3 linked regions of the Saccharomyces cerevisiae S288C genome follow. The gene in region 3 interacts genetically with the main gene of each other region. Each region holds a gene or a part of one and is shown on either strand. Other genes may lie near its edges.

Region 1 (9,353 bases), on a different chromosome or scaffold from region 3:
TCAAAAATGTGTGGGTCATTACGTAAATAATGATAGGAATGGGATTCTTCTATTTTTCCTTTTTCCATTCTAGCAGCCGTCGGGAAAACGTGGCATCCTCTCTTTCGGGCTCAATTGGAGTCACGCTGCCGTGAGCATCCTCTCTTTCCATATCTAACAACTGAGCACGTAACCAATGGAAAAGCATGAGCTTAGCGTTGCTCCAAAAAAGTATTGGATGGTTAATACCATTTGTCTGTTCTCTTCTGACTTTGACTCCTCAAAAAAAAAAAATCTACAATCAACAGATCGCTTCAATTACGCCCTCACAAAAACTTTTTTCCTTCTTCTTCGCCCACGTTAAATTTTATCCCTCATGTTGTCTAACGGATTTCTGCACTTGATTTATTATAAAAAGACAAAGACATAATACTTCTCTATCAATTTCAGTTATTGTTCTTCCTTGCGTTATTCTTCTGTTCTTCTTTTTCTTTTGTCATATATAACCATAACCAAGTAATACATATTCAAAATGGGTGTTGAACAAATCTTAAAGAGAAAGACCGGTGTCATCGTTGGTGAAGATGTCCACAACTTATTCACTTACGCTAAGGAACACAAGTTCGCTATTCCAGCTATTAACGTCACCTCTTCTTCTACTGCCGTCGCTGCTTTAGAAGCTGCTAGAGACAGCAAGTCCCCAATCATTTTGCAAACCTCTAACGGTGGTGCTGCTTACTTCGCTGGTAAGGGTATCTCTAACGAAGGTCAAAATGCTTCCATCAAGGGTGCTATTGCCGCTGCCCACTACATCAGATCCATTGCTCCAGCTTACGGTATCCCAGTTGTCTTACACTCTGACCACTGTGCCAAGAAGTTGTTGCCATGGTTCGATGGTATGTTGGAAGCTGATGAAGCTTACTTCAAGGAACACGGTGAACCATTATTCTCCTCCCACATGTTGGATTTGTCTGAAGAAACCGATGAAGAAAACATCTCTACTTGTGTCAAGTACTTCAAGAGAATGGCCGCTATGGACCAATGGTTAGAAATGGAAATCGGTATTACCGGTGGTGAAGAAGATGGTGTTAACAACGAAAACGCTGACAAGGAAGACTTGTACACCAAGCCAGAACAAGTTTACAACGTCTACAAGGCTTTGCACCCAATCTCTCCAAACTTCTCCATTGCTGCTGCTTTCGGTAACTGTCACGGTTTGTACGCTGGTGACATCGCTTTGAGACCAGAAATCTTGGCTGAACACCAAAAGTACACCAGAGAACAAGTTGGTTGCAAGGAAGAAAAGCCATTGTTCTTGGTCTTCCACGGTGGTTCCGGTTCTACTGTCCAAGAATTCCACACTGGTATTGACAACGGTGTTGTCAAGGTCAACTTGGACACTGACTGTCAATACGCTTACTTGACTGGTATCAGAGACTACGTCTTGAACAAGAAGGACTACATAATGTCCCCAGTCGGTAACCCAGAAGGTCCAGAAAAGCCAAACAAGAAGTTCTTCGACCCAAGAGTCTGGGTTAGAGAAGGTGAAAAGACCATGGGTGCTAAGATCACCAAGTCTTTGGAAACTTTCCGTACCACTAACACTTTATAAGTTAATTCAAATTAATTGATATAGTTTTTTAATGAGTATTGAATCTGTTTAGAAATAATGGAATATTATTTTTATTTATTTATTTATATTATTGGTCGGCTCTTTTCTTCTGAAGGTCAATGACAAAATGATATGAAGGAAATAATGATTTCTAAAATTTTACAACGTAAGATATTTTTACAAAAGCCTAGCTCATCTTTTGTCATGCACTATTTTACTCACGCTTGAAATTAACGGCCAGTCCACTGCGGAGTCATTTCAAAGTCATCCTAATCGATCTATCGTTTTTGATAGCTCATTTTGGAGTTCGCGATTGTCTTCTGTTATTCACAACTGTTTTAATTTTTATTTCATTCTGGAACTCTTCGAGTTCTTTGTAAAGTCTTTCATAGTAGCTTACTTTATCCTCCAACATATTTAACTTCATGTCAATTTCGGCTCTTAAATTTTCCACATCATCAAGTTCAACATCATCTTTTAACTTGAATTTATTCTCTAGCTCTTCCAACCAAGCCTCATTGCTCCTTGATTTACTGGTGAAAAGTGATACACTTTGCGCGCAATCCAGGTCAAAACTTTCCTGCAAAGAATTCACCAATTTCTCGACATCATAGTACAATTTGTTTTGTTCTCCCATCACAATTTAATATACCTGATGGATTCTTATGAAGCGCTGGGTAATGGACGTGTCACTCTACTTCGCCTTTTTCCCTACTCCTTTTAGTACGGAAGACAATGCTAATAAATAAGAGGGTAATAATAATATTATTAATCGGCAAAAAAGATTAAACGCCAAGCGTTTAATTATCAGAAAGCAAACGTCGTACCAATCCTTGAATGCTTCCCAATTGTATATTAAGAGTCATCACAGCAACATATTCTTGTTATTAAATTAATTATTATTGATTTTTGATATTGTATAAAAAAACCAAATATGTATAAAAAAAGTGAATAAAAAATACCAAGTATGGAGAAATATATTAGAAGTCTATACGTTAAAACCAGAACGTGCACAATTTTTTTAATCTGCCAAATGGAAAAAACGGAAATATACGGAAAAGAAGTTGAAGTAATAGTTAGAAAGGCAAAAAAGGAAAGAAACAATTTAAAATATCTTAAGATTATATTAGAAACAAACACCAATGTTCATTTCATTCCTTAGAATATATCCGAATGAAATGACCAACCTACTTGTTTTGTAAACTGAGGAAGAAAGAATATTATTTCTCCGAAAACTTGTCATACCGTAGCTTGTCTTGCTTTTATTTGCTTTTGACCTTATTTTTTTCAAAAATCACCGTGCTTTTTGTGAGTTTTTAGATGTTGTGATAAATTGTCACTTCTACTGAATTTTTTCTCACAGAACATACAAGCAAAAGGGCGTTCCGTTGAATGAACGGATCTTATATGCCTTTTCAAGTGCTCACTGCGTCTGAATGCCTTCTCACAGTCTTTACACTTGAAAGGTTTATTTTTATCGTAGTTGTTGGGGTCAATGGTAGTAATAGATTTCCTTTTCCGAGGTTGGACAGGAACCTTACCATTGTTGTTGTTATGAGAAATAGTTGGACTTAAAGTAACACTTGACGACTTTCTTCTTCTTGTGTTTGGGCTTACCGTTGCCTGTTTAGTAGGTTGTTGTTGATGATGTTGAGCTGCATGGTGAGCTTGACTAGTAGGAAGTATTTTGAACGAAGAGTTCATCGAGATATCATAGCTTCTTCTTTGGAAAGCTGGTGTAGGTGTGATATTATCAACACCAGAAGTCGCCAATTTAGCGGCAGCAGAGGCATTATCCGACAACATCATAGAGGGTTTGATAAACTGTTGATCCTGAGCCGGAGATGACTTGAGAATGTTGAAGGGGTCTACGTTATTGTCGAATGCCGACATTGTGGTTGCATCTAAGCTATTGTAATTTAGCGCACCAAAAGCATCGTCTTCATTTTCTTCTGAAAGAAATGATGCGGAATCAGACAGAGGATTTGCCATCACCGAATCATTTGCAAAAGATTCAATATCATGAATTAAGGGCAAAGAGGCACGCTGTTGCCTTGTGGTGCTACTGCTATGGGAGATGCGATTTAAAGAAGAGGAAATGCTTTTTGGCTTTGTTATACCAGAGTCCTTAGAAAAATCCATACTATAACCGCTCAGAGCTTGAGAAACGTCATGATCTAATAATTTGAAGTTTGGATTAGAGTTGTTTATAGTGGTAGTAGGTGAAATGGTTGATCCACGCCTCTCAGTAGTGGCAGTACCTTCAGGGATAATTTGTTGAGTGGGTTTACTGTTGCTACTATTTTTGTGATTGAGATTCCAAAACTCTATCGAATGAGAGATCGAATTTCTAGAATCCGTCATAGAAGGAAAGGAAGAGGTAACCACCTCGCTGTATCTTCTTGCGTCGCGACCAGCGTCCGGCATGAACTTCAATGCTTCTTCTGAAGATACAAAATCCTCTAAGATTGATTGCATGCTATTAGTATTATCATTATTGGTATCGTCTAGATTATAATCATTGTCGTTCAATCCTGTTGTACTGTTGGCGTTGTTTGGTAACCTAGCATCTAGAAACAAATTGGAATATATTGAAGGTTCTGCCTCAAGAAGGTTTGTCTTGGGAGAAGTTGCATGTTGGTGTGGCGATAATTCTATATTTTCATTAAAATGACTGTCATTGATAGGATTCATTGGAGAAAATACCTTTTCTAGTTGCTCCAAGTTTTTCAATTCGTCATTTAAAGCTTGAGGGGTGGCTACTGAACTATATATCTTATCACCACCATTTTTCTTACCATTAGCATTACTGCTTTGTTTCTCACCGTCATTCACGAACTGTGCGTTATTGGAATTTTTCCACTTCCAGTTGGTAGCTAAACTGGCGGTATCCTTTAAATTCATTAAACTATTATTAGCAGTCGTATTAGTTGTCGCTGTTAAAATTGGAGTATTAGTGGCGTCCGTTCTATGCGGAGAATCCATTGAGAATTGACCAAAGGTATATTCCGGCGAAGATATGCTATTGTTCGCAGAATTGTCATTAGAAGAAGTAGCAGAAACGTTGGTTGTGCTCAATACCGGGTCCATCAATCCGTTTGGCTCGTTCATTATAGACGAATCTTCTTGTTTCTTGTTTGCGTGACGAACGAAACTACTATTAGGTCCGAAGACTAGCATTATATTGTTTTTAATAAGAAGAAAAGAAAAAAAAGCCGAACTGATAAAGGCGTTAAATATTCAAAAAGGAAATTTCACGTTTTAATTCTTTTCTCTATAAATGTTAATTCTCTGGAAATAAAACGGAAAGAGACGGAAAAATTCTTAAGCCTGTTGACCAGTTGCGAAAAACACATCACAGAACTGCAGTTGCTTGTTATATACAAATTTAGACAGAAATAAGATGCATAAAAATAAAATTTAAGTACCTACAGGTATGCTCATGCATCTAAGGGAAACATGTGTAGCATCAAGAGGGTAGAAAGGCCCGCAAGCGGAATCCCAGAAATAGCCATAATACTTTTGATAGATAAGAGACCTTTGTTAAACGCTCTTAAAAGGGTGGGTTTGGTTTATCCGGAGAATAGCAATGCGCAAACCTTATTGCTCAAGAGTCCTAGTTCTAGCTCGGGTTTTCAGGTTCTAAAAATGACCAGTACGCCGCCAGCAGTGAAACCTCGTGGGAGAAAGCCGGTTCCTGCAGCCTGACATTTGCGCTGGGTTTTCACGGCACCATGCCTAGCAGCCCTGGCCACTGTCATCGCTACCAACCGCTTCGTACAACAGTACCCACCAGCAGCCGGCTGCTGGCCCCACATAGAAATTGTTACGGATCCGTCCCCGCGCTCGTACTTTACAGCCAACCCCACCTTTTTCCCTTTTTCTTGGTGTGCGGTTGCCGTTCCTTCGAGGAACGGATCTTCGGGCTTTTTTTGCCGCGCTCAAAATGCCCCGGAGCGGCACTTTCTATGTATGTTTTTTTCTTTCATTTTATTATTTCCTAGTGCTGGCAAAATGATTGCTTGGAGCTCACAATACCTGTGAGGAGACCCCTTCCCCTTTTCTTTTCCCCTCCCCTGATTTCGGAAAATCAAAAAAATCGTTACGCTTGACAATTATTCCTTTTTGAGCGATTATTTTTCAAATTTCACAACTTCTTTGCCTTCAGAGGTCCTGGGTGCCTTACATCGTAGCATTTATGTTGCATCTTTTATCGAAAACATAGCTCTTTACGCGCTAAGGAAAGAAGTTGACAGCAGCTGGGTACACTAGGCAAGGTAGACGTTTTTATCAACTGTCTGTAGATAGATTCACTGCATCCTTATACTGCAAGAGATGAAAATTTTGAAAACCCTTCATCTTTTGCGGCTTTAAGCTTTCAATGAAATGTATGTTAAACAGTGCTTATCTCCTGTTTTTACGCGCAATAACGCCAGCGGCCTTGTTTTCCTCTCTTCTCCGTTTAGCGTTAGCCATTCGTTCAAATGAACGCTAAAAACATAAGGGCTACCCTTAAAAACTCCGCTATGAAGGCAAAAAATATAAACAGGGTAAGCACCTATATGTAATTTGGCACGACGTGAGCAATTTCATGTTGTGCAGCGGGATAGCAAGCTGTGCAGCGGGATAGCAAGCTGTGCAGTATTCTAACAAAAAAAAACACGAAGAAAAAGAAAAGAATAGCGAATTTCTCAGTGACAGTCTTCCAATCTTTCAGAAAGGCAAAAAAAGTGATTTCGTCATTAACATTAAGAGTTAGCACTTTACCAGAGTGCTATTGCCTTCCAACATACGTTCCTCCCCTCCAAAGTAGTAGTACTATATAGATAAAGCTAGGGTATTCTGAGCAAATATAAATCAAACTAAAGTGATTCATAATTATAGAAAATATGCAGGGCGATATCAGAAGGAAAAAAGATCTTTTACCTCGTTATAAAACAGGAAGCAAATATAATTCCAGAAGAAGGGGCGGTTATCTGACTACCCCTATGAAAAAGATTATAGTATACATTATACTGTTATGTGGCGTTTATTTCGTTATAAAAGTTGCCTATTCTGATCTGAATAAAGAAACTGAGATCAAGCTAGAAAGCCATTCTTCTGATGTTTCTGCAAGTGCAAGCGATCATACCAATATTGCAGCCGGCGGTGCAGCTGATGCGACTAACAATAAGCAACCACAACAAGCTAAAGTACCTAAAGAAAAGTTCAATAATGAAGTCGCAAAGCAACAAGAAGTAAAGAATTTGGAGAACGATTTGAAACCACAAATTGATTCAGAAAAGCAAAAACAAATAAACAAGGACAAAAAAGAACAAAAACAGCAACTCCAGAAAGAGAAACAAGATCTCGCCAAGGAAAATTTGGCTAACAATGAAATCCTTGATAATTAACCAATTCAAAACTTCCAACAGTTTGGTGATGAAAATAATAAATGTTTTACGTTAACCTTATTGATTAACCTCACCTCCCTTATTCTTTGTATAGTATAAGTGCATACTAACATACTGTGTACGTACATAAAGATATGCAGAACGTTCACAAACATGTAGAAACCAGACACGAAAAAAAAAAAAAAAAAAAACATAAATAGATTAAAGATATTTATCACCACAAGTATACGATACGGCGCTGATAATTTACAATTCTATCCTTCGGGAAAGACAACAATAATTTAGGCTGATAATTAAAATCGAAGGAAAAGCAAGCGCTAATGCGCGAAAAAACACTTAAATTAAAACCCGAATCTTCTCTTAGTATACATATATGCAGAACATGCTAGCATACACATAAAAAGCACAATGCCTATAAACCATGTCAACGAATCCCTGTATTGTCCGGGCACGATAACATTCATACCCCACAGACCCGTAATCACATTCATTGGCAGAACAATAGTACCCAGTATGGTAATTTTTCCCAAAACGTCGTTCATGTCATTATTAACCTTCGTCATATCAATGTTGATTTGTGCCAGATAATTTGAATGCGATCTACTTAACAGTTTTTCATAATGGTTTAGCGATGAGACCATGGTTACAATATGATCTTGAATATCACCCAAATACATTGCGATTTCAGATTGTGGCGAAGCTTCCCATTGCTCATTATACCTTTTGGCAAATCCTTTTATCACATCAGCCTTGGATCCTAGCAATCTTAGTATACTCATCACTCTTTTACGGCATTCACCAATCCGCCTCAACATATCTCCTTTTCTCTTCCAACCTATCAAATTTGCATTGAATGACGCTTCAGAAGTGCTCATACTTCTTGAACTCACACTAGATTTTGCACTAGAGTAGGACGTCTTTTTAGAATAGACATCGAACGGAAATGCATCCTCATCGCTAGCGCCCGAATCGGAATCACTATCGCTAGAATCGCTATCACTAGAATCATCTGACTGATGCATCTTCAAAATGGCGTCCTCAATCTCATAAACTTCATCTTCGATAAGTTCTATCATAGGGGCAAATGCGTCTGTAATGTCATCGATTAAGGCATACGCAATCCAATCAGAGGTAACATTAAGGTAATCCTTTAGTAGTCTTGCTCTTCTTCGAACATTAATAGGATGTGGTGTGGGAGCAAAATGAAACGTCAATACACCAGTTCTGAAAACAATAATGTAAACATTCAATGGCTCTAATTCTCCCTCACGTGGTTTGTGCCTGTCTCCTGATTTTCTTTTGAATTTTTCGTTCTCTTCCATCTTTTTCTTTTCGCTTTTGACACGGCGTTTATAGCTTGATGATGATGTATTGGTTGTTCTATTTGCAGATGACCGACGGCGTGCACGTAAAATCGATGGAAGCCATTTGCTCCTACTTGCATTGCTTGTACTGTTATTGTTATTTGCATTTGATTCATTTGACATAGTAGCACCATAGGCTTGTGATTTACGACGTGAAATACTTTCATGATCCAAGGTAGCAGATTCTTGCTTTTCTTTTCTCCTCCGACGAACATGCTTTTCTGCTACAATATCGAAACTTCTAAAACAAATCAGGTAATAATCTCTAAATAGTTCCACTTTCTCACGAACTTCTCCCAAAAAAATATCTTCTGTAGTTAAAGGGTGAATTCCGAAAGCTTTACTTAATATTTTCATCTCCTCTTCAGTAGGATTGCTGACATCCAACCAGAATGGAGGAACATCCTCTATATTTGCCACAGACATAGACGATAAAGTGGAAGGGTTTTTAGCTGTCAATCCCTGGAGTTGAGATACAGTTTCTGCTTTTATACCAGGTGTTGGAGAATTTGGATGTGTCTTGATATGACCAGCGCTATTATCTTGGGAGTATATAGAAGCGACAAATAAATCTTGAAATTTTTGACCAGGTTGCAGTAAACCAGATATTGTCGGAGAATGAACAGTAGAGTCCAAATCCACCCTAAAATAAGTGAACCTGAAATGTTCTGGGTTATTAGAAATAATATGCGGAGGATATTGAATATTTCTGCCGACTAGTAAGTTATCTTGTAATCCGCTTTGAATTCTTGATTTTGAGTCCTTGGTTGAATTGGACCCAAGGACCATTGGACGTTGAATCAAATGCCATGGCGCAATTCTTTTTGGCCTTAAACGGCCGTTCTTCAAATTCTCTGTTTCGTTTACCCTTCTGTTTCCCAATTCAGGGACATCAATATTAGTTACGATTGGCTTTGAAAAAAGAATTCCATCTTCATTTGATGTTCCATCTTCCTCATCTTCATCGTATTGGAAGTGGAAAGCTTCAGCATCTTGAATAGCTTG
Region 2 (7,642 bases), on a different chromosome or scaffold from region 3:
TATACGGAAAGGAGGGGTGGGCGGGTGTGGTTATTGTCGTGTGGTTATTGTCGTGGGTGTGCTTCTATGTTATGTGTGTCTTGTATATATATGCGCGTTCCAGTTGACGCTGATACAGCCCGCCGGGCGGACGGAAAGTCCGCGGGGATGACCGCGGACCGCCGGGCCGATGACTCTAGTGCTGATGCTGATGCTGATGTTGTGCTATATGCTTTTTTTTAGCCGCTGATGACATATAGAGTCCAGATGGGGAGTCCTTTCAATCATGCTTTTCCTTGCCCCTTTACTTTGGACTATGCACTCATGATTGCCATTGTGACTGGAGAGATCGTGACACTGCTGATGGTTTTGTCATTCCGCACGTCCTACGTTTAGAAAGTAACGATGCCAATCTTCATCACGGTAAAAGTAATACGGGGTGGGGTGTTACTGATGAGAATTGGGGGAATTTTGAGATAATTGTTGGGATTCCATTTTTAATAAGGCAATAATATTAGGTACGTAGATATACTAGAAGTTCTTCTCGAGGATTTAGGAATCCATAAAAGGGAATCTGCAATTCTACACAATTCTATAAATATTATTATCATCGTTTTATATGTTGATATTCATTGATCCTATTACATTATCAATCCTTGTATTTCAGCTTCCGTTGAAAACGATGACTATTTCTCATCATTTGCGTCATCTTCTAACACCGTATATGATAATATACTAGTAACGTAAACACTAGTTAGTAGATGATAGTTGATTTTTATTCCAACAGTTACGTAAACCGTTATCAAATAAATACGCTCAGATTCAATTCTGATTAATTTTCATTGGGGCTGATGCTTTCGCTGCAAGTTGTCATAGTATTATTTATTTATTAATACCTTAGATTTTCTTGACAATTAACCAATTTTTAATCATTAAACTTAATAATATTTAATGCTACTGTACTTTTTATTATTATTTATTATTAATTTATTTATTCGTTCATCTTGTATGTAATCGTCCTCCGTTCTTTTCCCTTTACCGCTGGCTTGCGCGCGATGATTTCCACTAAAAGCTTGCTTGGAAATCTCGATCACCGACATACGCCCTGAGAATGCTTATAGGAGCTATTGAGGCGAAAGAAGTGGAGGGAAAGTAATATCCCGAGAACGAAAACGCAAGGTTTATTGTCATGAAAATGCAAATGCACCGTTGACAAAACCAACCACACGATTATCACGACTACTACCATAATAGGTAGGCAATGAACCACTTTGTTCAGCAAATGGGTCCAACACGAATCGACTTTTCGAGGCTTCCTTCGGCCGTTTTCCGGCCAGTTAGTGCTGATTATATATCATACTCTAGTTTATGTTCGCTTTACGTATGGTAGTGTCTCTAAGCTATTCCGTCTTTTTAAGAAGCGCATCGATATTGGGATGCCGCCTTCGCCAGTAATTTTCCTGAGCTTGTCGTTCGATCTCCGCTGCCTTGAGCAAAAAGTTTTGATAATTCAGTCTGGAACTAGGAGAAGCTGACTCGATGGCATCTTCAGGCTTAGCGGTGACCGGAGAATTGCCAATTGACGTGGCTGTTTGCTTCTTGGGGGTTACTCCCTCAACAAGGCGTAGAAAATAACGGTAGCAATCCTCATCGCTGTAAAAGTAATACGGAGTATGCCATTGCCCATGATTAAACAAATATTGGTTCATGTTGTATGTGATGATCCTCCATTCTTTCCCTTCTACCGCCGGTTTACGTGTGATGACATCCACTAAAAGCTCGGTCCTAAAATTTCGACGACTGACTAGCTTTGGATTACCATCACTTAATATTATTAACAAACCTACAAGAGAAGTAAAAGCAAATATTGCAGAATTGAAAACACAAGCTTCGTTGTCATTAAAAAATATAATTAATAAAACCAAAACCCCTATTACCAGGGACAAAATCATGACTGGTGTATAGCGAGCGATTTCATAGATCCAATAACTCAAGTACGAACGGAATATGTCCTTAGGAAGAGCCACATTTTTCTCAATTAAATGTGCACTAGGTTCGTTAAGTGTATCTAACTTGACGTCGGTACTTTCTGGAGGGGTCTGCATAGCCAATATATACCTTGTATTGCCTATGACTATAGTATTCCTGGTTGTTTCTGTGCCACTGCATACTGATCAAATGTTTCAATTACGCAGGACCCTTTTACGATTGTTTTTCATCTCTAGAGGCATTTTCAACATCGTATTTTCCGAAGCGTTGCATAATGAAAATGTGATAATAAGGCAGTGAGCTACTTTGTCACAACAAAGTACGAGAACAGATGAGGTTCCGTGGTGTTTTTGGGGCAACCGCACTATTTGGAGCGCTGTATATATTTATATCCTACTACAAAAAATCATAAATGACACTGAATTGGACACATGCTAGCGTCAAATACCTTGCCTGGTAAAGTTGTGTGCTAGTGTCTCCCGTCTTCTGTCTAAAAAAACTCATCGACACCAGGATACTCTTGTCGCCAATATTCCTTTTGAAATTGTTGTTCGATTTCGGCTGCCTTGGTGAGGAGCTTTATAAAGTTCGGTCCGGCACTAAAACTAGAAGACTCAGCGGCTTCGTTTGGTGTGCCAGCGGTTTCGTCATTTGATTGTGCGTCTTTAACATTGCTGGCTGACGATTCCTTTTGCTTCTTGAAAGTTCTTCCCTTAATAAGACTTAGAAAATAACGGTGGCAATCTTCATCACGGTAAAAGTAGTAGGGAGTATCCCATAGCCCATGATCAAATAAATACTGGTTCATCTTGTATGTAATTGTCCTCCATTCTTTCCCCTTTACCGCCGGTTTACGTGTGATAATTTCCATCAGAAGCTTAACTTTAAATTCCCGATCACCGATCGGTTCACTAAATGCAATTACAACCATGCATGTTCCTGGAAAGCAAAAGGAAAACAATAGTATCTCAAAGGCAACGCAAAATTCCGTATTATAAAAAAACACTAATAATAAAATTGAAGTCACAATAAGTACGAGCAAAATTACTGCCGCTTTATGACGAGTAACTTCATATATCCAATAACTTAAGTACGAACCGAATATGTCCTTGGGAAGAGCCACATTTTTCTCAATTAAATATGCACTGGGTTCGTCGAGAAAATCCGACTTGGCGTCGGTACTTTCTGAAGATGTTTGCATGCCCAGTTTATATCTTGTCTTCTCTATAGCTCTGCTATGGTGTTGAAGGATGTTATGCGGATCAAAATAGCGATCTGTCTTATACCAATTGAAACTTTTCATCACCTGCTTTTTACTTCGGAGGCATTTTTCATTCAATACTAAGTTCCGGAATGATACAAAATAAAAATGGTATTGAGGCGACATAAGTTGTTAGCACAGCAAAGATGGTTGCGGGTTAAGTTTTCTGATCGTTCTGGGAGAGTATTTACGTTAAAAAATAGGAATCAATTAAGCATAATCATGCCGTTTTGTGTGCTACATATCTGTTTCCCACTATATAAAGTCACGTTAGAATGCAATTTATCTAATTTACTACCCCATTTTAGCGTCAGTGGATTGGTAAATCCCTTTGCTAGCAAGGTACTGTCAGAATATTTCTCCTTCCTTTCAAATAATTGCACCAATATCTTGCCAATACTTCACTTGAGATTGTTCTACAATATCCGCTGTCTTGGAAAGCAATTTTGAAAATCTTCTCCGGGATTTAATGTGAAAGATTCGCCAGCTTCAGTCTCCTGTACATTTTCCTCAGCGTTGCTTGTTGGCTTCTCGAAAGTTCTTCCCTCAATAAAACTTAGAAAAAGACGGTGGCAATCTTCTTCGCAATAAAAGTAGTAAGGAGTACTCCATATTTTATGGTCAAATAGATATTTATTCATCTTGTACGTGATAATGTTTCATTCCCCTTTCACCGAACGCTGGCGTGTGCTTACCTCTAACGAAAGCCTAATATTAGATGCTTTATTGTCGGTCTGTCCCGGAGATGAAAAAAGAGGATAGAAGGGACATGAGATGGTATACTCGGAAATTAGTCAGTGAAATCAAAATTACAGATGCCAGGAACATAATCATTATCGGCTTACAATGAGCCCCCTCGTAACACGTAAAGTGAATAACTTAAGTACGAATTGAACATGTCTTTGGGAAGGACCACATTTCCCTCAACTAAATTGGCACCATCTCCACTCAACACATCCAGTCTAATATTTTTATTTTGTGGTTGCGATTGCATACACGATTTGAGTACTAAATTTTTGACGAATGTAATACGGACCAAACAACAGCTTTTTTATTCACTAGTTATTCTTATAACTACAACACCAAACCCTTTTTGAGATCCTTTTTTTCTTTTTCTATTGTTTGGATTTTCTTGGCTGCATTATGCGAAGCGCAACAATAGAATGTGACAAAAACTGACAGAACCCTTATTAAACAAATATGAAAACCTCTAAAAAAACTTACAAATACGATAGTTGTAGGCCATGATGTTTGTACAGCTCGAATATATGATGCTCAATTCTGGCTTCGAGATGTTCTTGAATTCGATTCTTGTTCTCGTTTTAAAGAAAAGTAAGTATACTTGGTGAATAAAATGCTTCCGCTTCAAGGTAAATCAGCGTCAGGATATTGCTTTCTCCAGTATTCACTTTGAGCCTCCTTTTCTATTTGTGTTGCCTTCAAAACATATGCCATCAAAATAGGGTCTGATCTAATACTATAAAAGTTGTTTAGACCATTTGAAGTCTTCCCTGCTGAGACAGGTGATTGTGTATCCTCGGCACTATTCGATGAGGAATCCGAGTGCGAACCAGAATTCACTTCCTTGATAAGAGTGGTGAAGAACTCATGGCACTTCTTGCCGCTATAGAAATAGTACGGGGTATACCATAGTCTCTTCATGAATAGATATTGGTTCATATTATATGCGACAGTACCCCATTCCTTCCCCGCAGGCTTGCGTGCGATCACCTCCACTAAAAGCTTTATCATGAACTCCTGTTCAGTGATCGCTTTCCCGAATGTGAATGCTGCAACCACCATTAAAGCCATGGAGGCTACTATAAGGGACATCACTAAGATCACAGTGCACCCGTCGTTATCATGAAAAAGCACAATCAATGAGATCAAACTCACGATTATGATGATCATAAACATGATCGGTTTACAATGAGCAATTTCATAAAGTACATAACTCAGATGTGAACTGAATGTGTCTTCGGGAAGAGCTACATTCTCTTCGATTAAATGTGCACTGGGTTCGTCGAGAGTATCCATCTTTACGTCGGTATTTTCTGAAGGTGTTTGCATGGTCAATTGATATCTTGCCTTAATATGGCACTTATAGATGTTATCCTGATCAAAATAGCCAGCTGTTTTATGCTTTTTTAACGTTGTTCACCATTGTATTTATTATTTTTGAGGCATTTTTCACGTATTGTTGCAACGTCCCGAAGGGATTCGATGTGATCGAAAAGCGTCCCGGCTGATCTATTGTGATGACCAGCTATCTCACGTTGGCGAGCATCAAGCCGAGGATCATAAAGCAAAATATATAATAGCATTTGCATCTAAAGTAAACTACATAAAATTTGTTTCGAGCGTACATAACTTTTACACCCAGATGGACTGACACTTAATTGCGGGCTTCGTAATGTTCTTGAAGTTAATGATGCTCGTACATTTTATATTAGAATATACTAGATAAATACCAAAAATTCGGCCCTAAGGCAAATCAACCTCTGGGTATTGCTTTCTCCAATACTCAAATTCAGCTTCTTTGTGAATTTCCGCAGCTTTAATAAGGTAAGCTTCTAAAACTGGATCAGAACTAAAGATATAAGGTTTTACCATCTCATTTGAAACCTCTTTTGCTGGTGTGTTTGACTGCGTATTCTCTGCACCGTTCGTTGGTGAACTCAAATGTGCATTCGACCTTGTCTGTTTGATAAGGCTTTTGAAAAATTTATGGCACCTATGTTCACAAAAAAAGTAATACGGAGTATGCCATATCCCATGGTCAAACAGATACTGGTTCATATTATATGCGATTATTCTCCATTCCTTCCCCCCTACTGCTGGTTTACGTGTAATGACTTCTACTAAAAGCTTAATTATGAAACCCTTATTCAAGGTCTCAGACACGAAGGCAGTTATACCGATCAATAAAATGATAATAGAGAGGATAAGAGAAATCACTAAAAACACAAGGATACCTTTGATATCATGAAAAAACGTAATCAATAAAACCAAACACACAGGTATTAGGAACATAATCATTAGCGGTTTACAACGAGCGATTTCATTAAGTATATAACTCCAGTACGAATTGAATGTATCCTCTGGAAGAGCCACATTTTCCTCGATTAAATGTGCACTGGGTTCGTCGAGAGTATCCAACTTGACGTCGGTATTTTCTGAAGGGGTTTGCATGTTGAATTGATATCTTGTCTTGTGTAAGGTTATTATATGGTTTTGGAGGTTGTTATGCTGATTCGAATTACGACTTGATCATGATACTAATTGAGCTTTGACGAAATATTTTAGCAATTCAGAACCCCTTTCATATTCTTTTTTTTTTTCATTTTTAGAGGCGTTTTTTCACTGATAGGTACAGCCTCCGAAATAATATATAGTGAAGATATAATAATAATAGTGCGAGCCTTTTACAGGGCCATTATGATCATGAGTGAGATCCAGAAAAGCACATTGCATGGCAGTCGGATGTTGAGAATTGGGGGAATTTTGAGATAATTGTTGGGATTCCATTGTTGATAAAGGCTATAATATTAGGTATACAGAATATACTTGAAGGTTCTCCTCGAGGGTCTAGGAATCCCCATAATGGAGTCTATATTTCTATATACCAATCTTACGATTATTCCTCATTCCGTTTTATATGTTTCATTATCCTATTGCATTATCAATCCTTACACTTCAGCTTCCTCTAACTTCGATGACAGCTTTTCATACCTTATGCCATCATCTCTACACCGTATATGATAATATATTGATAATATAACTATTAGTTGATAGACGATAGTGGATTTTTATTCCAACAGAATTGCATTCCAACACATTGCCCCTAGCAATAATAGAAGTCCTACAATTATCAGATTTTTTAGCCAATTCTCAGCAACAAATCTAAATAGCAATTGCTCTTTTTAATTAATGGTTTACAGTTGTGATGCAACGCAATCCTTTTTCTTATAATTGGTTTACATATTTTATCACTGAAAATAATGTTGTATTACGGGCTCGAGTAATACCGGAGTGTCTTGACAATCCTAATATAAACAGTCTTAGGGAAGTAACCAGTTGTCAAAACAGTTTATCAGATTAATTCACGGAATGTTACTTATCTTATATATTATATAAAATATGAATCATACTAAGTGGTGGAAGCGCGGAATCTCGGATCTAAACTAATTGTTCAGGCATTTATACTTTGGGTAGTTCAGCTAGGGAAGGTCGGGTTTTGTCTCATGTTGTTCGTTTTGTTATAAGGTTGTTTCATATGTGTTTTATGAACGTTCAGGGTGACGTATTGTCATACTGACATATCTCATTTTGAGATACAACAAATAACATACAATTTTGGCAACTTGGCCGAGTGGTTAAGGCGAAAGATTAGAAATCTTTTGGGCTTTGCCC
Region 3 (4,840 bases):
GAAAATGTTATAGGTTACATGCCTTTGCCCGTTGGTGTTATAGGCCCCTTGGTTATCGATGGTACATCTTATCATATACCAATGGCAACTACAGAGGGTTGTTTGGTAGCTTCTGCCATGCGTGGCTGTAAGGCAATCAATGCTGGCGGTGGTGCAACAACTGTTTTAACTAAGGATGGTATGACAAGAGGCCCAGTAGTCCGTTTCCCAACTTTGAAAAGATCTGGTGCCTGTAAGATATGGTTAGACTCAGAAGAGGGACAAAACGCAATTAAAAAAGCTTTTAACTCTACATCAAGATTTGCACGTCTGCAACATATTCAAACTTGTCTAGCAGGAGATTTACTCTTCATGAGATTTAGAACAACTACTGGTGACGCAATGGGTATGAATATGATTTCTAAAGGTGTCGAATACTCATTAAAGCAAATGGTAGAAGAGTATGGCTGGGAAGATATGGAGGTTGTCTCCGTTTCTGGTAACTACTGTACCGACAAAAAACCAGCTGCCATCAACTGGATCGAAGGTCGTGGTAAGAGTGTCGTCGCAGAAGCTACTATTCCTGGTGATGTTGTCAGAAAAGTGTTAAAAAGTGATGTTTCCGCATTGGTTGAGTTGAACATTGCTAAGAATTTGGTTGGATCTGCAATGGCTGGGTCTGTTGGTGGATTTAACGCACATGCAGCTAATTTAGTGACAGCTGTTTTCTTGGCATTAGGACAAGATCCTGCACAAAATGTTGAAAGTTCCAACTGTATAACATTGATGAAAGAAGTGGACGGTGATTTGAGAATTTCCGTATCCATGCCATCCATCGAAGTAGGTACCATCGGTGGTGGTACTGTTCTAGAACCACAAGGTGCCATGTTGGACTTATTAGGTGTAAGAGGCCCGCATGCTACCGCTCCTGGTACCAACGCACGTCAATTAGCAAGAATAGTTGCCTGTGCCGTCTTGGCAGGTGAATTATCCTTATGTGCTGCCCTAGCAGCCGGCCATTTGGTTCAAAGTCATATGACCCACAACAGGAAACCTGCTGAACCAACAAAACCTAACAATTTGGACGCCACTGATATAAATCGTTTGAAAGATGGGTCCGTCACCTGCATTAAATCCTAAACTTAGTCATACGTCATTGGTATTCTCTTGAAAAAGAAGCACAACAGCACCATGTGTTACGTAAAATATTTACTTTATAGTTTGTACGTCATAATTTCTTCCATATTACAAGTTCGTGCATATATAGAAAGAATTCTGTTGTTGTAATTGTCATAACTATTGAGCTTTACCTGAAAATTCAACGAAAAAAACTCAAAAACCACATGCTTCTCTTGAGTCATGCGGTTCCTTTCCCTTATGAGTGAAAATCTTCCTTTTTTAGCTATGTGCGCCATCCGATAAATGTAGGAGCAATGAAGCGGAAAGTCAATTTTTTCATACAGTATACATTAATATCTAGTGTGTATTGACTGTGATCGGGAAGATCTTCAGGGTTGAATTACAACATGGACACGCAGATTGCAATAACTGGCGTTGCCGTCGGGAAAGAAATCAATAATGATAATTCAAAGACCGACCAAAAAGTTTCTTTGCCGAAGGCGGATGTCCCATGCATAGATAAGGCCACACAAACTATTATAGAAGGATGCTCCAAAGATGACCCTAGGCTTTCGTATCCTACAAAACTAGAGACTACTGAAAAGGGGAAGACCAAAAGAAACTCATTTGCTTGTGTATGCTGCCATTCCTTGAAGCAAAAATGTGAGCCTTCTGATGTTAACGATATTTATAGGAAACCTTGTCGAAGGTGTCTGAAACACAAGAAGCTGTGCAAGTTTGATCTTTCAAAAAGGACAAGGAAGAGAAAGCCTAGATCAAGGTCACCCACACCTTTTGAATCGCCGATGGTGAATGTCTCTACTAAAAGCAAAGGCCCAACAGATTCTGAAGAATCTAGCTTGAAGGATGGTACATCTTACCTCGCCAGTTTCCCTTCTGACCCAAACGCTAAACAATTTCCAAACTCTCGGACAGTCTTACCTGGACTTCAACAAAGTTTATCCGATCTTTGGTCAACTTTAAGCCAACCACCCTCATATGGAGCAAGAGAGGCCGAAACCACATCTACCGGAGAGATAACCACCAATAATCATACAAAATCCAATGGCAGTGTGCCCACAAATCCAGCAGTTTTAGCATCTAACGATGAGCATACTAATATTAGTGATGCGCCAGTTATATACAGTACCTACAACTCCCCCGTACCGATTTCATCTGCGCCTACCAGCATTAACAGCGAGGCACTGTTCAAACATAGGCCTAAAATTGTGGGTGATGAGGAAACACAGAACGTCAAAGTGAAAAGACAAAAGAAATCATACTCTAGACATATGACACGGTCGTTCAGGAAGCAGCTACAATCACTGATTATTTCTCAAAAAGGTAAAATTAGAGATATTTCGATGAAGCTTGACACTTGGTCAAAGCAGTGGAATGACCTTGTTGAAAAGAGCATGTTTTTGCCAACCATTGCAGATCCTGTATCAGTAGGAATCATATCTCATGAAGAAGCGACGCTTCGCTTACATCTTTATAAAACCGAGATTTCATATTTGTCAAAATTACCATTCATAAAGGTCGAAGAGAATGTTAGTGTCGATGAATTAAGAAAGAAGAAACCTATTTTATTCTCCGTCATTATGTCATGTGTTTCAATTGTACTAACACCCAAACAAACCACCAGAGGAACTATTATGAAGCTTGATAGTTTTGTACTAAACTTAATTACAAATCAGATTTTCAAGGCTAATAATAAATCTATCGAAATCATCGAATCACTGTCTACATTATGTCTATGGTATAATTTTTTTGAATGGTCAAGTAAAACGAGATACCATATATTTAATTACATCTGTTGCTGTTTAACTAGAGATTTGGGGCCTACCTATGTCAATCGATCCTTTGGTATGTTTAGTGACGAGGATCCAAAGAGATTCAAGTCACCTTTGGAACTTTACAGTAATGGCGCCAGTTTAACTTTATTGGTATACATTTCCGCACTCAATATTTCAATTTTTCTACGTCAATCAATACAAGCTCGTTGGAGTCACGTCACGGAAAAGGCCTGCGAGGATTTAGTTAAAGAGACGAAAAAATCGCGACATTATGACAACGATAAACTATTACTTGATTCAGCTGATGATCCCATCTTGGTTCAATTTGCTAAAATGAACCACGTCTTGGAAAATATTCACACACACCTACATGAGAGAGATCTAAATGATGACGAGTTTGATGATCCTATTTTTACTAAAAAGTATCTTAATAAACTAATGGAAAAATACCACAAGCAATTGCAAGAGATTTTCACTAAACTTGACAGAAACAGGCCAAGAGTGATTGCATTTTATTACTCTGTAGAAGCTTATTTATACCAGTATAAACTTGCAGTATTCATCGGGGAAATGTCGCATACCATAAACGAAAAAGTCGAATTGCCCAGAGAAATAATGGATGATTTTGTTAAATGCTATCATTGCTGTAAATCTGCCCTTGAGGAATTTTCCAAGTTGGAGCCAATTTTAATTACCTCATTACCTTTATTTCATACTTCCAGGATCATATATACCGTTGGTATGCTCTTATTAAAGCTGCGCTATTCCGTAGTCGCTATTCCTTCGTTTCACGATTTAATGCCCCTTACAGATGATGCTATTGCCTTGGTAATAGGGGTAAACAATCTTTTAGAAAAAACATCAGAGCTGTATCCCTTCAACAACTCTCTTTACAAATTTAGGTATGTTATTGCGTTATTTTGTCAAACCTACGCAAACAAAGTTATTGATGTTGCTGATCGCTACAATGCAGAAAGGGAGAAACTAAAGGAAAAGCAGGTCATAGACGAAGTAAGCAATGGCCACGATGGTACGAAGCCAATAAATGCATATGTAACCGAGTCACAAAAGATGCCAACAGAAGAAGATCCAATTATCGACAATAATACAAACCAAAACATAACCGCTGTACCTGATGAAATGCTGCCAGTATACTCAAGAGTTCGTGACGATACTGCCGCAATGAACCTGAATATTAACAGTACTTCATATATGAATGAATCCCCACATGAACACCGAGAGAGTATGACAGGCACAACTCTATTACCACCACCATTTATTTCTAATGATGTGACTAACTCTGCTGACTCAACTAATATAAAACCATCACCTAGTTCATCGGTAGACAACTTGAACGATTATTTGACGGATATAAACTCCTTAGCATGGGGCGTTAATTCATTAAATGACGAGTTTTGGACAGACCTTTTCATGAATGATATTTGAGCCCCCACAACAAAAATTATGACCCAAACCAGATCCGAGTTTGTATTAACAAACAAAGTTTAAAATATGTAAAACTAATTAATTTATCCTTAGGTATATATACGATGAATGCAATTCAATTCATCGCTTCTATTTATTTTAGGTTTTTCTTCTGCTCATGGTTCGTGCTCACTGATTAACCATTGGTGCTAGAAATGACTCGAGAACGGATATAAAGTTTCTATTGGTGATCTTTCTTGTCCCTTGACCTCTCATTTCATTTTCGTTTTCAGCGAAATCGTACGGTGATAATAAGTTGTTGCTCACGTATTTGACATAAATATGGCTGTAAATATACTGTAAAACCTGAGTGTAAGACTGCTGTTTAAAGTCGGACAATAGAACAAACCATAGCCCTGAAGCTGTACAGTATGTGTGGACTCTATACTTTCCTGTAGATATACTCCGTATGTCATTTTTAACAGACCCTTTGGAGAGCTTTTGTGTAATGGAGCGTAACG

What was found.
Region 1: mutations in WAR1 (region 3) and MSN4 are lethal when combined (synthetic lethality), as found in Saccharomyces cerevisiae (one study listed by BioGRID).
Region 2: mutations in WAR1 (region 3) and DFP2 together harm fitness more than expected from each alone (negative genetic interaction), as found in Saccharomyces cerevisiae (2 studies listed by BioGRID).

The regions. Positions count from the first base shown.
Region 1 is NC_001143.9:318,646-327,998, reverse strand, and holds MSN4 (stress-responsive transcriptional activator MSN4), read right to left. Parts: upstream 4,772-9,353; coding exon 2,879-4,771; downstream 1-2,878. Other genes in the region: fructose-bisphosphate aldolase FBA1, read left to right, coding at 512-1,591; BLI1 (Bli1p), read right to left, coding at 1,887-2,228; YKL063C (uncharacterized protein), read left to right, coding at 6,481-6,984; putative Mg(2+) transporter MNR2, read right to left, coding at 7,326-9,353. UniProt on the Saccharomyces cerevisiae protein: Positive transcriptional factor that acts as a component of the stress responsive system. Recognizes and binds to the stress response element (STRE) which is involved in the response to various forms of stress (heat, oxidative, osmotic, etc.).
Region 2 is NC_001133.9:182,549-190,190, reverse strand, and holds DFP2 (DUP240 family protein), read right to left. Parts: upstream 3,871-7,642; coding exon 3,646-3,870; downstream 1-3,645. Other genes in the region: DUP240 family protein MST28, read right to left, coding at 1,380-2,084; pheromone-regulated DUP240 family protein PRM9, read right to left, coding at 2,459-3,355; KTD1 (DUP240 family protein), read right to left, coding at 4,595-5,299; DUP240 family protein UIP3, read right to left, coding at 5,714-6,421.
Region 3 is NC_001145.3:112,013-116,852, reverse strand, and holds WAR1 (War1p), read left to right. Parts: upstream 1-1,505; coding exon 1,506-4,340; downstream 4,341-4,840. Other genes in the region: hydroxymethylglutaryl-CoA reductase (NADPH) HMG1, read left to right, coding at 1-1,119; TRAPP subunit BET5, read right to left, coding at 4,509-4,840. UniProt on the Saccharomyces cerevisiae protein: transcription factor which binds to a weak acid response element (WARE) to mediate stress induction of PDR12 and FUN34, encoding an acid transporter and a putative ammonia transporter, respectively.